Linked DNA regions of Neurospora crassa OR74A. Each later gene encodes a partner of the first gene's protein in a complex. Links are inferred from orthologs where the notes say so. Each region holds a gene or a part of one and is shown in the gene's direction. Other genes may lie near its edges.

What was found. The genes of interacting proteins can lie anywhere in the genome.
Region 2: NCU08553 (region 1) and NCU04508 share a complex: the UniProt entries of both Saccharomyces cerevisiae proteins name them as parts of the RNA polymerase II (Pol II) complex. The link is inferred for Neurospora crassa OR74A from reciprocal best matches to the Saccharomyces cerevisiae genes RPB9 and RPC10.

What each region holds. Positions count from the first base shown.
Region 1 is NC_026503.1:4,946,264-4,952,452, forward strand, and holds NCU08553 (DNA directed RNA polymerase II 15 kDa subunit), read left to right. Parts: upstream 1-3,512; 5' UTR 3,513-4,078; coding exon 4,079-4,336; intron 4,337-5,120; coding exon 5,121-5,210; intron 5,211-5,275; coding exon 5,276-5,320; 3' UTR 5,321-5,682; downstream 5,683-6,189. Other genes in the region: peptidyl-prolyl cis-trans isomerase ssp-1, read right to left, coding at 626-635, 852-1,108, 1,272-1,544, 1,613-1,621. UniProt on the Saccharomyces cerevisiae protein: DNA-dependent RNA polymerase catalyzes the transcription of DNA into RNA using the four ribonucleoside triphosphates as substrates. Component of RNA polymerase II which synthesizes mRNA precursors and many functional non-coding RNAs.
Region 2 is NC_026504.1:3,138,750-3,145,676, forward strand, and holds NCU04508 (hypothetical protein), read left to right. Parts: upstream 1-3,365; 5' UTR 3,366-3,696; coding exon 3,697-3,899; intron 3,900-3,986; coding exon 3,987-4,011; 3' UTR 4,012-4,455; downstream 4,456-6,927. Other genes in the region: gcy-3 (aldose reductase), read left to right, coding at 738-829, 909-1,395, 1,471-1,872; NCU04509 (HIT domain-containing protein), read right to left, coding at 2,032-2,736; NCU04507 (ATP binding protein), read right to left, coding at 4,602-5,728, 5,804-5,876. UniProt on the Saccharomyces cerevisiae protein: DNA-dependent RNA polymerases catalyze the transcription of DNA into RNA using the four ribonucleoside triphosphates as substrates.

The sequences.
Region 1 (6,189 bases):
CCAGACATGTCGATTCTGTCTTTCCATCTTCCTAGGTCTCGAACCCCAGCCAGCCACATAGAGAGGGGATCGGAGGTAATCTAAGTAAATAGCTAGTACTCAAGCTAGGAATCACTTGGGGTGCTTGCCTGGCCGTCGCTTAGTTACTTGGGGCATTGGACCATGTTAGGTCCCCGTTGTGTATTGTGTGTGTGTCTCGAAATGTGAAATGTTTTATTTTGTCTGCTTTTTATTTTTTATTCTTTTTGTTCCTATCCGGCTGTTTTCCTTTGGGTTTCCCCCCTATCCGCACTTGAGCCAGGAGAACCCAGATATTTCTACCTAGCCTTTTGTTGCCTTTTTCGTACTACGTACAGTAATCCGACAATATCAAAGTTCCAGTGACCGCATAATGGCGTAATGCGTCATCGCGGCCATCATCTTTTGGGTTTCCGATATAAAGAGTTGTGTTCCCGGTCTCATCCCTCGAATTCCTCCTCTCCTTCGTACCATCGCAAAGCGCCGCGCTCGAAGCAAAATCCCTAATTCGTCTTCCCTATACTATCATGCACGCTCTCAGCGCCCTTTGATGTTCCTCTTTATCAGAGGCAGTGGTCATTATTGATCGTCGTGGCGTATCGGGATCCTACTCGAGCCTGTACCATTCCCCAATGTCGTCGTCAGCAAACTTTTGTTCGTTCACGAATGATGTCCGTCTTGCCAGCGACTGGTGTCACTCGGTAGTAGCGGCGGCCGTCACCACACACCACCAGATAACCGCAACACACGTCCACCTCCAATATACTCTCCGTACCCTCCTTCTTCTTCTCTTCCTTCTTCTGATTCTTCGAGGAAAAGAAATGTCGACTAACCGTTCAATCAAATGCAACCCACTAGCCGTGTCCACGATGCCGCTGATCTCGCCAGGCTTCAACGCAAAAGCGGCATCCTCAAACTCCTTTTGCATGTCGCCGCGTCCAAAGTAGCCGAGGTCACCCCGCTTCCGAGCAGAGGAGCAGTCGGACTCGGTCAGGGCCAGCTCGCCGAGGGAAATGGAGCCGGACTTGATGCGCTGTTCGAATCCTTGCAGGGTAGTGAGGGCTTCTTGCTTGGTGCGGGTAATCTCGGACTGTCATTGGTGGTTAGCGACGGTCAGAAAGAGAGAAAGAAAAACAAAACGAGCGCAGCGAGCAGCCCTCCGAAGGAGCCTCCCCGGAGGGGCCGCCGGAGGCAACAACAAACACCAGGCACTCCGGACGCAACTTGAAATGGACAACGGGAAGGGGACTCACCTCGCGCCAAGAACTGGGCCTCCTGCTCTGGTTGTGCTTGACCAGCAAATGCGCACACCTGATCTTTCCCTGTGGTTGTTGCTGCTGTTGTTGTTGCTGCTGTTGACTCGTGGGCGAGTGGTACTTGGCCATGTAGATCTTGAGCTTGTCGACGTCGGTGCCCGAGGGTGGCTCCCAGCGAGAGGTCTTGGTGGCGCTGTTGAAGTAGTAGGGCAGGTTCTTGGATTGCGAGTGGCGGACTTCCCAGTCTTCGGGGAGACCGGTCTCGATGGTCTGGGAAGGGGGGAAGGGGGGGGGTCAGCTCTGTTGTTCTGGATGTTGCGAGTGGTGGGTTGACTTGCGTTGGACATTATGACGGTTTTGGTGGTGGTTGTAGTGGTGATTGGTTCGTAGGTCGGTTCTGTGAGAGCACGATGCGGTTCGCGGTCAGTAAGTAGCTTAGTCCTCGAGTACTGTAGGCGGATAGCCTTGTGGCGGTCGCGATGTCAACGGGGAGAAGGAGGTTCAGGCGCAATTGCGACTCGCGTGATCAACCAGCGAGGGGCATGGTGACGTACCTTGAGTTGCGCCGGTAGAGCTTCGACAATGAGAATTAGAAAGCGACTACAAAAAGGAGAGATGGAAAACAGAAGGAGAAATTGACAAAGGGAGAATTGAACTTTTTAGATCACCTGGCAACGGCGGGGGGGGAAGGAGGAACAGGCAGAGAAACATCCAGCACCACTCCGGCCAAGACTCTCCCGGTTCTAGGCAATGGAGCTCTCCGTCGTCAGGGACGTCAGCTTGTCGGCGGCTCCACACCTCACAAGGCACAAAAAGCGGGGACTTTCTCTGGGGGAGCGGGGTCGGGCAAGGGGACAGGTACATAGGTACCATAGTACCGCCCGTTGTGTTTTCCGCGATTGGGGATTCGTTCGCGGGGACGGAGCTGTCAGGGGCACCATCTTGTTAGTGGGATGGTGTGGCAAGCCCAGCAGGTTCTTGTCCTTGTCGACATGTCCTCGTGTGGGTGCCACTGCCATCCTCCGAGTTGTTGCTTGGTCAGCTTGAGGCTGCTTGCTTACCTCTAGTATTCTTTATCACCTTGATGGCCTCATTTAGTTCTCTATTTGAGATGAATTAGGTTGAGTTATGGAAGCCACTTGAACTGATACCAGTTGTACTAACAATTCATGCTGGTTTTTTATACTTTGTTTTCATCAAAAAGGTCACACCTCACCAAACATGAAAGACTTGAAGTACCGGCCCGTTGGTTCTCGACAACAGGAACCAAAGCTGCGAACCTGCAGCCCGGTCGTGTGCTGTGTAGCATCGGATGAGCACCATGATCCTCGTCGCCCTCTCATGAGCCATCCACACTTTCTCGATCCGTCGTCAGTTGCTGCTGCATCGGGACACCCCACGCAACAGTTCCTTGGGGCCTCGTGATTCTCCGTGCATAGAGTGGGTGCCACACACGGACTTGCTGTGCCCTTGAATATTGGGGTCACGGGTGGGCGGGAGGAGAGAGAGGATTTGGCACATCGAGATGAATTTTTCAACAAAAGACTATCCATATTACATACGATGATAAATATTTACAAAGGCGTCCATCCCCTCTGAAGCCTCATGACATTTAACAGACAGGTGCTCGTGGTCAACTCCATGACGTCGTTGTGGATTCCAGTAGTGTGTACTCTCTTGTCATTTTGTGTGAGACCTGAAGCCCCTGATGCGCTGTAATGGTGTATCGGTCCCTGTTGACTGCGTCTTGTCCTCGCCCGTTTACTCGAGACAGGACACCAAGAACAAGACACTTTGGGGAGGGAAGCATGCATGGCGCTCCAGTGAATTGAACTTGACAAGTTTGGATCGAGGCGGTTTGATACACTCGGGTCTCCGTCGGCAATAAAAACACAACGAATCATGGCTCATGCGAAACCGGGCATCCAAATCGAGGCTTTGCCAAATAATGGTCTGCAACAAGCAACACTTTTCGGTCTGACTGGCCTGTTACTTGCAGCCTGGAGTCCCGCCTGTCCAGTGTTCTGCCCCTGACCGTGACTTCACCCAAAGCGGCAAGGCGGTGAAGGGGTTTGGCAGTGGCAGCCATCCTTGTCACCCTCCTTGGGCCCCGATTTTCCAAGGTCCCAGGGCTGTTTTGCTCCGGCCGGCAGGGCAATTACAGTTGGCACCTGGACACTTGGATGGATCCCTCCCCGACCGAACGTGACTGCTCACTGCAGCACAGCACTCATTGCAGTCGGTGGGAGGGAGTTGTCGTGCCTCACCCACGCCTTTCTTGGTCATTTCCTCGGCTGGCCTTCCACTTCACCTGCAGTGCCTTTTTTATTTTCCATTTTCCATTTTCCATTTTCCACCTCCGGCTCTTTCCACCATCTTTTAAAATCATCTTGGGACTCTCATTTTCCCACGGACGAACTTCTTCCTCTTTAGCAACACCTAACTCTGAACTGCTGACAAGTATCAGATCCAATTGCTGTTACTAGCTTACTACTACTTAGTATTCAACTTCCACTTGACTACACTACACTAGCAGTTTTTTGCATCCTTCCGCCACCCGACAAGGAAAGCCAACCAAGCCCATCCTTGGGATCGTCAAGCATTCAATTAGCGATCCGTCCATCCATCCATCCATCCATCCATTTCTACCATTCACCCAACAACACCAACCACCATCAACACACACCCACACAAAGGAACGGGCACAACAACCTTTCTGCTTCCTTTCGCCTTCTCTTTCAACTATTATTACACCCACACACACAAATACACACACAAAACACACACAACACATATCAACCAAAATGTCGTCGCCCGCCCCTTCTAGCACCGGTGGCGCCAAGGAGAAGAAGCCCCTTGAGCAGATCACGTTCCGCTTCTGCTCCGAATGCAGCAACATGCTGTACCCCCGCGAGGCCGAGGACGAGAACAAGCTGCTCTTCACCTGCCGCACCTGCAACTTTTCCGAGCCCGCCACGTCGACGTGCATCTACCGCAACATCCTCAACAACGCTGCCGGCGAGACGGCTGGTGTCACGCAGGATGTCGCCTCTGATCCCACGGTGGGTGTTGTCTCTTCTGTTTCTTCTGCTGCTGTTGGTGATGGTGTCGCCTCGCCTGCGTCGACCTTGCCCCGACCCGCCGACGGTTCGACCTACATCTACTGCCAGTGCTGTGGCGTCATCGAGCTGTGTTCGAACCACTTTGCCGCCCCTCCCTCCGACTCCGAAGCCGGCAGCGATTGCGAGTCCCTGTACGACCAGATGGCCGCCACCACGATCGACATGAGCGATAACAGTCATGTCTGGGCTTCCAACAGCAGCGAGAGGGAGGCCATGGGCAGGGTCCGTGCCGAAGAGTACTTTTACAACTTGGTCGCCTTTGAGGACTACGAAGAAGAGGAGGACTCCATCGAGTCTGAAAACATGGAGCTCGACGACACCGACACGGAGTTGGCGGCATCAAGCCAACTGCCTGTTCAAGTCCCGGCAGCTTAGGACATGACCGGCAGACGACGCATCTCCCGCTCTCACGAGGTTACGACTTTTTGATTTTACGGTCACAGCGATTACGGTTACGGCATACCCATTACATCAGGATTATAATACATCTATAATCATGGCGGCGCGGTTGTTCGCCCACCTTCGGGATTACAGCACCCGACACACGACACGACTGGCACACAGCACGGCATAGCATAGCACAGCGCATACCCAAAAGTCTCCGTCCGTCTGGTGGCGGGGTCTGGTCCGCGAGGCGATGACCTGGATTTGGCTTGTTCTTGTCATTTGCTCTGGCTTGCATCGAGACTAATCTCTTCTTTTTCTTCTTTCGTTTGCTATCTAGCTCCCAAGAGCCATCAAGGAATGCCCTGCCTGCCACCACCCGGAAGCTGTCTTCTTCCAGTCACAGCAGCGTACTTCGGAAACCGGAATGGTAAGACTCACTCACCTGCCTGGGAGGGGCTCACCAGAGTCATGGGTTAACAACGTTACTTTCAGAAACTTTTCTACGTCTGCTGCGATTGTGGTAATATTTACCAGTAGTGGGGGATTCACTCTTCACTCGGAAGGAATAGGGCCAGATCGATCCTTGTTATAGGCGGACAGGCGGGCGGTCGGAAAAAATCACAGGTTGATTAATAAAGATCAGGGGGTCATGATGAGTTGCATTACAGTGGCGTTTGTACACGGTTAACTCAAAAGGACCGCGGTTTAGGGCGTTTGGTTTTCTTTTTCATGCTTTGGCAGGACACTGGTTTAGAAATGGTCTTTCCATGAATCTCGTGGATAACGTTATAAACTGTTTCGTGTGATATGCAATGGTGATGTTGTTTTGCTTGACATGACATGTAATGTACAGTAGTATACACAGATTAGGACGGCACGCTTGATGTCCCGAACTGAAGTGACTGGTAAACCTAATCGACTGATGTGACGGCTGCTGCTGGCTGATCGTTACCCAAAATGGCGCTTGAAGAAAGGCCGTTCGATGAGACCATATTTTGGTGTGATGTCCGGTGTGTGAAGCCGTCGTACCTTGAGAACAACGTCGCAGTCTCAAACCCGTATACGCCAGGCCATCCCAAGTCCATCCTGGAAATCCGTAGACACACAAACCACAGTTCCGTCAGATATCAACAAAGTGATGTTCCGTAGCGCTCATCGTCAGTCATTACCTCAACACAGCCAACCCAAGCTGAGCCGACACCCAAACCCCCCACGAGAGTCACCAAGTCACCGCAATGACACATCCCACCGAGCATACTCCTCTTCACTTCAAGGAGCGTCACGCCACATCCCACCCCAACAAACTCAACTCTTTTTCTTTACGGGTATTCATATTTCATTCCATCTTGATTCTCCCGCTACATCCATCGTACATATATCCTCCCTGATCGATCAATCAAGCCTAG
Region 2 (6,927 bases), on another chromosome or scaffold:
GGCCGTTTACATGGTATGGACGTATACATGATGCCTATGCGTATGGAGAGCAGTCGCGGAGTTGTTCGTATGATAGCGAGTTTTATCATTAATAGAGAATTTGAGCGGCCTGATGAGATATGATAAGCATTGAAAGTTCCAGTTGATGCTATCTAGACTCCTAAGTATAGAGTCTTAGGTCTGTGGACTGTCGAGTGGCGGGAAGACCCCGGCTTATAGCGATCCCCGTTTTGACTCCGGGGCGATTCCCAGCCCCGGTCATCGGGCCGGGCTACCCGTCCTTCCCGTCTTAGCTATGACGGGACCTGCGCCAGTTGTCCCCAATCCGCTCCACAGAGCGGCGTCCCCCCACCATTTGGAGTTTGGCCCCCCAGTTTGCGCTCCGACCTTGGAACCTGCAGGAACTTGGAACTTGCATAAAGCTAGGTTGCTCTTCTTTGTTATCCCCGGAGGTGCGGGGCTATGGTACCTTATGGTTGCCATCAACGTCATCACATATGTAGAAGCGTGGGATAGAGAGCCACAATCCGTCAAAGGCAGTTCGTACAGTAATACAAACAGGCACCAGAATGATGGAGAAGATTACATTGGAACGGATAGGAATCGGCTCTCCACCGTTCGTGGGAGGAGAAAGTGGGGGTTGACTAAGAGATGGGGCTCCAAGCCTTATAAATCATGTTGAACTGCCCTTCCAGTCGTCGTTGATTCTCAATCATTCAAACTTTCTGTTGTCTTTCATGTTGCCTGTCTCACGCGCAATTCCCAGAATACCAAACATCACAAACACCGCCAGATATTTCTTCAGTAAAACAAACACCATGGCTCCTCTGTAAGTACCTTTACTTTGGGGATGAAGTGCCAGGAGAAACCCCTAGAAGAAGCTCACCCGAGCTTACAACTGTCAACAGCAGCAAGACTCACAAGCTCAACACGGGCGACGAGATCCCCGCCGTTGGCCTCGGAACCTGGCAGTCCAAGCCTGGTCAGGTCGAGAAGGCCGTCGAGGCCGCCCTACGTGCCGGCTATACTCACATCGACACCGCGTATGCCTACGGCAACGAGAAGGAGGTTGGCCAAGGCATCAAGGCCTCCGGCGTCCCACGCGAGAAGATCTGGCTCACCACCAAGCTGGACAACGACTGGCACAAGCATGTCGCCGAGGCTATCGATACGTCGCTCAAGAACCTGGACACCCCCTACGTTGACCTCTACCTGATGCACTGGCCCGCCAGTCTTGTCAAGGGGAACACCAAGGAGGTGTACAACGACTGGGACTTTGTGGACACCTGGCGCGAGATGCAGAAGCTGGTTGACACCGGCAAGGTCAAGAACATTGGTGTCAGCAACTTTGGCGTCAAGAACCTGGAGAAGCTTTTGAGCGCCGAGAGCACCAAGGTAAGCAAGATTGTGCTCCTCCTCCTCTTCAAGTTTTGTTGTGAATTGATGAGGACCTCACACATATAATTACAGATTGTTCCCGCCGTTAACCAGATCGAACTTCATCCTGGTAACCCGTCCCCCCACCTTGTCGAGTATCTGCGCTCGAAGGGCATTCATGCTTCGGCCTATTCGCCCCTCGGTAGCAGCGACTCGCCGCTTTACAAGCTTAACAGCCTCACCAAGCTCGCCGAGTCCAAGGGCAAGACTGTGCAGCAGGTTCTCCTTAGATGGGGTGTCCAGAAGGGCTGGAGTGTGCTGCCTAAGAGCGTCACTGAGGAGCGTATCAAGGCCAACATTGATCTCGAGGGCTGGAGCTTGACCGATGAGGAGATTGCTCAGATTGATGAGGTTCACAAGGAGAACAGCTTCAAGGTCTGCGGCGATGACTGGTTGCCTGTCAAGATCTTCTTCGGTGCTGGCGACAGCGACTAAGCGTCGTACACCGTGCAGCCAAGAGGATGCTGGCAAGATATTCCCCCCATAGATGAACAATAATGAATAATGACACCAGAAAATGCTCGCTCGAGATTAATGACTGGCTATGCTCCGTGACCACACATCTGTGACATCCGTTCCGACCAACCCCGCTCCCTACAGCTTCGCTTTCTCCCTTAGCCCCCTCTCCCCCTCCTCCTCCTCCTCCCTAACCACCTCCGTGACAAACCCTCTCACCCTCCTCGCCAACTCCTCCCCCTCGTCCTCATCCAAATCCTCCCTTTTCCCCCTCCCAAACATGGTACTCGTAAATCTCTCAGCCTCCCTCAGCCCTGGCCTGGGAATGATATGAAAATGCATATGCTCAACAACCTGCGCCGCGGCCGACCCGTTGTTCTGGACCACGTTCCAGTCTTTGATTCCCGTCGCCCGCGTCACTGCTTCCGAGAGGATCCGTAGGTAACGCCCCAATTCGGCGGCTTCATCGGGAAGAACGTCGGTGAGTTTGGCGGCGTGCCGACGGGGGCAGAGTAAGAGATGGCCTGGGGAGAGGGGCATGATGTCGAGGAAGGCGATCAGGAGGGGGGTGGAGAGGAGGAGGAAGGTTTGTGGTTGTGGGGAGGTGGAGGTGGAGGGGGGGAAGGGAGAAGGGGGGGTGGTAGGGGGGTAGGGGGGGAAGGTCGAGGAGATGTGGCAGAAGGGACAGTTGGGTTGGGTATCGGAGGAGGATGAGGATGAGGTGTTAGTGGCGCCGGCGCCTGTCTTGGAGGCGGGAAGGCTGGGGTCGAAAGTGTTGGCGTCGGGGACGATGGAGCGTGGAACTGGTGTTGCTGGTGGCTTCTTGTCGGTTGAAGAGGCCATGGCTGCAGTCTGGCGTATGACGTAGTGATGTGTTTGAACGATTGTATATGTCGAAGAGCCCCGAGTTAAACTTGAACTGAAGAAATACTCAAGGGAAATCTCGACAAGGGCTAGGAGTGAAGCTGATCTCGCTATGTAATGATGCCGAGAATGATTGTTTGCTGAGTACGCCCCGTAACCAAGGACCAATGCGACAGAATGTCAAACAAATAATCAAGAAGAACGCCTTGCTCCGTGACAAATCCGAAAAGGAAACACCACTAATGACTCTTGTATGATGATTTCTAGCTGATGACTAAATAGTAGCTCAGTGAAGTACGGGACGAGAGGTCCGGGGCGGCATCTGAAAAGACCCCAAAGCCAAACACAAGTGAAGCACCGGGCCCGTTCCCCGTCCCTGTCTTACCTCCGCTTGCCGGCGGGCATCGACCCGGTGGTGTGCAGTGGTGAGGCGCCAGGGCTGCCGCGAACAACCTCGGCCTCCAAACTCCGCCGAAAACGTGGGGGAATTGCCTGCCGCGCTGACAGCTACCCACAGAAGAGTGGAGAATTTATCATGATATGACAGGGGTAACTTGCATTCGCAAAGTCCGAACGCCGCCTGCTTCTGTCACCCTTTGTCAAAGTCTGGAACTTTCTGCCTCAGCGTCCCGCCTTTTTTTACCTTTCGTTGTTCGCGTCCAGTTGAAACTCAGTCGCCTGTATAGGTAGCGCTCCGTCCCTCTCGTCCGTCGCAAACCACTCCACCGGTAAATATTCAACATCATCATCATCATCAACCGAACGACATCATCGTCGCATATCGCTATAAATCGCATAACATCGATTTGTCGTCGCCTCAACACAAAGACAATCTTACACGTTGCATAACCGTCATCCAATTTATCCGAGCAAACCCGACGACAAACAAACCCAAACCACAAATACCACACCACCCTCAACACAACACAAACAACCAAGATGTCTTCCCGCGAGCAATACCAGGTCCCCAACTCCCAGGGCTTCACCACCGGTGCCTCTAACAACGACGGCAACAGCGGTGGCAGCAGCGTCATGTGGTACACTTGCGGCGACTGCGCGGTCCGCGTGCCGCTCGAGAAGGGCGCTCCTATCCGTTGCCAGAAGTGCGGTGCGCGTGTTTTGTATAAGGAGCGCACCAAGAGGTACGTTTTCTTTGGGCTTACCCGGTGGAAGATTCTGAGAAGGTGGGAGAGAAAAATCTTATGCTAACGACGGTCTGGGGGTAATAGAATGGTTCAGTTCGAGGCTCGGTAAATGGTTTCTTATTCGACTTTGTTCGACTTGGGGCCAACAAAGGAGGTGTAGAAAGGGGTCGCTCTTCCTCGATGCCGTATCGGGCTGAAGTTTTCATCGTATTTGGACCGGCCGGGATGTCCTGATGCCCAAGGACGGGAGCCGAGTCAGCCTTGGAGGCAACGGGAACATTTGTCGAGGGGAGCTGGGACCGTAGGAGACTCGAACCGTCGATATCTTGGTGTGATTTTGCACCATTAGCGGTGGCTTAGCATGGCCCAGCCTTGAACCTACGGCTTGTTGTGATCAGAAGAAGGGAGATATCATATTCATCACAATATCATGATGGCGGCGTTCTGGGAAATATCGGTAGACTTGTGGGAATTTATACAAAGAAAGCATTGCTTTTCATCATCGTCATCATCACCTATCACCATCAGATGGATCCGTTCTGTGATGCTTCTCATTATTGATCATGTTTTTTGCCATATAGAATATTGGTATGGTATCACTCTGAAAACGCCGGTTGTATGCTAAATCTCCTTCCCTCTCGATCACTTGTCTTGCCAACACTGCTCCATAAATCCTTTCCTTACCAATGGCCAATCTCATCACCTCTGGCTGTGGAGGTACTTTGCAAAACTTGCGTCGGCCAAAACCGAATCATCCTCGCCCTGCATGGCAGCGGCGTACCTCGCCTGCAATCCCTCGCGGTCATACTCGTCGTTGGGATCGTCACCATATTCCTCGTCGCTGCTCTCCTCGTCCGTGCTCAACGGCTCGGGGGCCTCTTTATCATTGACGTCACCCACTGTGACGTCGCCCGCCGCGTCGCCCATCGACATTCCCTTCATCATTTTGTTGAGTTCCCTCTCCCGCGCCTTCTTCTTGTTCTCCTCCCTTTCTTCGCGCCTCCTCTCGAGCTCAGGCTGGTAATCGCGCTTGAACTCCTCTGCCTTCTCCTGAACCGCGGCAAAGAACTCGTCAATGCCCGTCCCGTACAGCGAACTGACGCCCACCACGTTCAGATGTGCGTAAAACTCCTCCAACATCAGACTCATGCTGTTCAACAGCGAGCCCATGTATCCGCTGCCCGAGCCCATGCCATCGCCGCTGCCCTCCGCTCCGCCAAACGCGTTGTTGGTCTCGTCCTCCTGCAGCGCAGCCTGGAACGCATCATAGTCGGTCATCCACTCCTTTGCAAAAGCCGGGTCCTTAACGTCCGACTTGTTGAAGACCAGAATCATGGGCAGCTTGGTCTTGTAAAGGATACTGCAGGCGTACAGCATGTTGCTCATGAAGGTCGACGTCGAGCTCGTCCGGGGGGTGTCGATGATGTAGGCGATGACGGTGGGGAAGGATGAGGCGAGCGACTCAAGGAGAATCTGGCCCGACGCGGACCAGACGAACACCTCGATCTGGCCCGGCGTGTCGACGAGAATGTGCTTGATGGGCGTGTGCGTCGGGTCGTCGGGCTTGGGCGCCGTGCGCTTCTCGAGCAGGCCGAGAACCTGGTCGACTTTGGTGGCAAAGAGGTTCAGCGATGTGAGAATGCCGCCGTTGGGGCCGAGGTTGTACTGCTTCATCACCTCCTTGTAGTTGACCGAGTCGCGGATGTCAATGTTGCTCTCGAAGGGCGAGTGGGTGACTGCTGGGTCGAGGTTGATGACATAAGGAGGCTCCTTCTTTCCGTGGAGATGGGCATTGATCTGTTGCATAAAGGTTGTCTTGCCGGATCCTGGGGAACATGGTCAGCTGGATGATTCCGCTTGCGGTTGGGAAAAGCACAGAACATGAGCATGCGTAGACCTACCTGCCATGCCAACGCAGACGATGGCAACAGGCTGGTCAGCCTTGGCGGCAGACGATGCCGAAGTCGAAGCCATGGTGCGACAGCTGTGCACGGGTGCGTGGAAGATCGTTTGGTGATCTCTGTGTTATCTGTCGGATAAAATCAAAGTTGTTGCAGATTTCAGTTTGCGCAGAGATGGTGTTGTAATGAGTCTCGGGAAGAAAGTTTCACGGATGTCGTAAGCGGCGGGGTCACTGCTGTAGGGATGGTCATAGGTGGTTGCGACGGAGTGAATGTCCGAGGGCCACAGAGGGGCAACACCGCAAGAGAAAAAAAAAAACAAAAAAAAACCAAAGTCCATTGATCGCCTGGCGTAGCGGGCGGAAAGGTTCCATCCATCAAGGCATGGGTGGGGTGAAGGGTAGGTAAGGCTTGGCATTTTGTTTTCCCCAAAGTGAAATGACTGAAACCTCGACATTGGTCTCTTTTCATCCTCTCACCCATTCATCTTCCAACTACCTACGCCTTCATGTTCCTCGACATCCAATCCATATCTGGCCGGCTCGCATCTCATCCATCATCTTTTTACCAATTTGGAACTAAATCAGTTGGCGACCTATACCCTGTTATCATGCCTATATCAAAAGCCCATATGGCCTGCTTGACAGCTTCTTGTTTTCAGCCGAGCCGCTGTTAATCCGCGAATACCACAGCCCTCAACCGCCGCAGTAGCTAGTCGACACTCGACCTAGTAACTTGGCGGTCCCGCTCTTCAAGTTATACCCCGGTATTATGGGTGCCTGGATATTTTAGGATCTCAACGGCTGGATGGCATAGCACTTGCCGCGGGCAGACAAGCCCCGAAGGCTTCATCGACCTCACAGGCTATTGTTCAATGAAGTCTGTCCACTTGTCCAGTTTCAACTAATCCTTTCACGCCTAGCAATGAAGCCGGATACGGATGCTTTTTGGACAATTCGGGGAGTCGTCGAGTGGCAATTTGATACTGCTGAACGAGACCGGGATAAGCGATGGGAGAAAAGGCGTCTCACGTCATCTTCGGAAAAGGTCAGGAACTATAGGCAGGATGCTGGCGGGGGCGATTCACCAATGCCAATGACCGCTAAACCCATGCTAAGCGTATG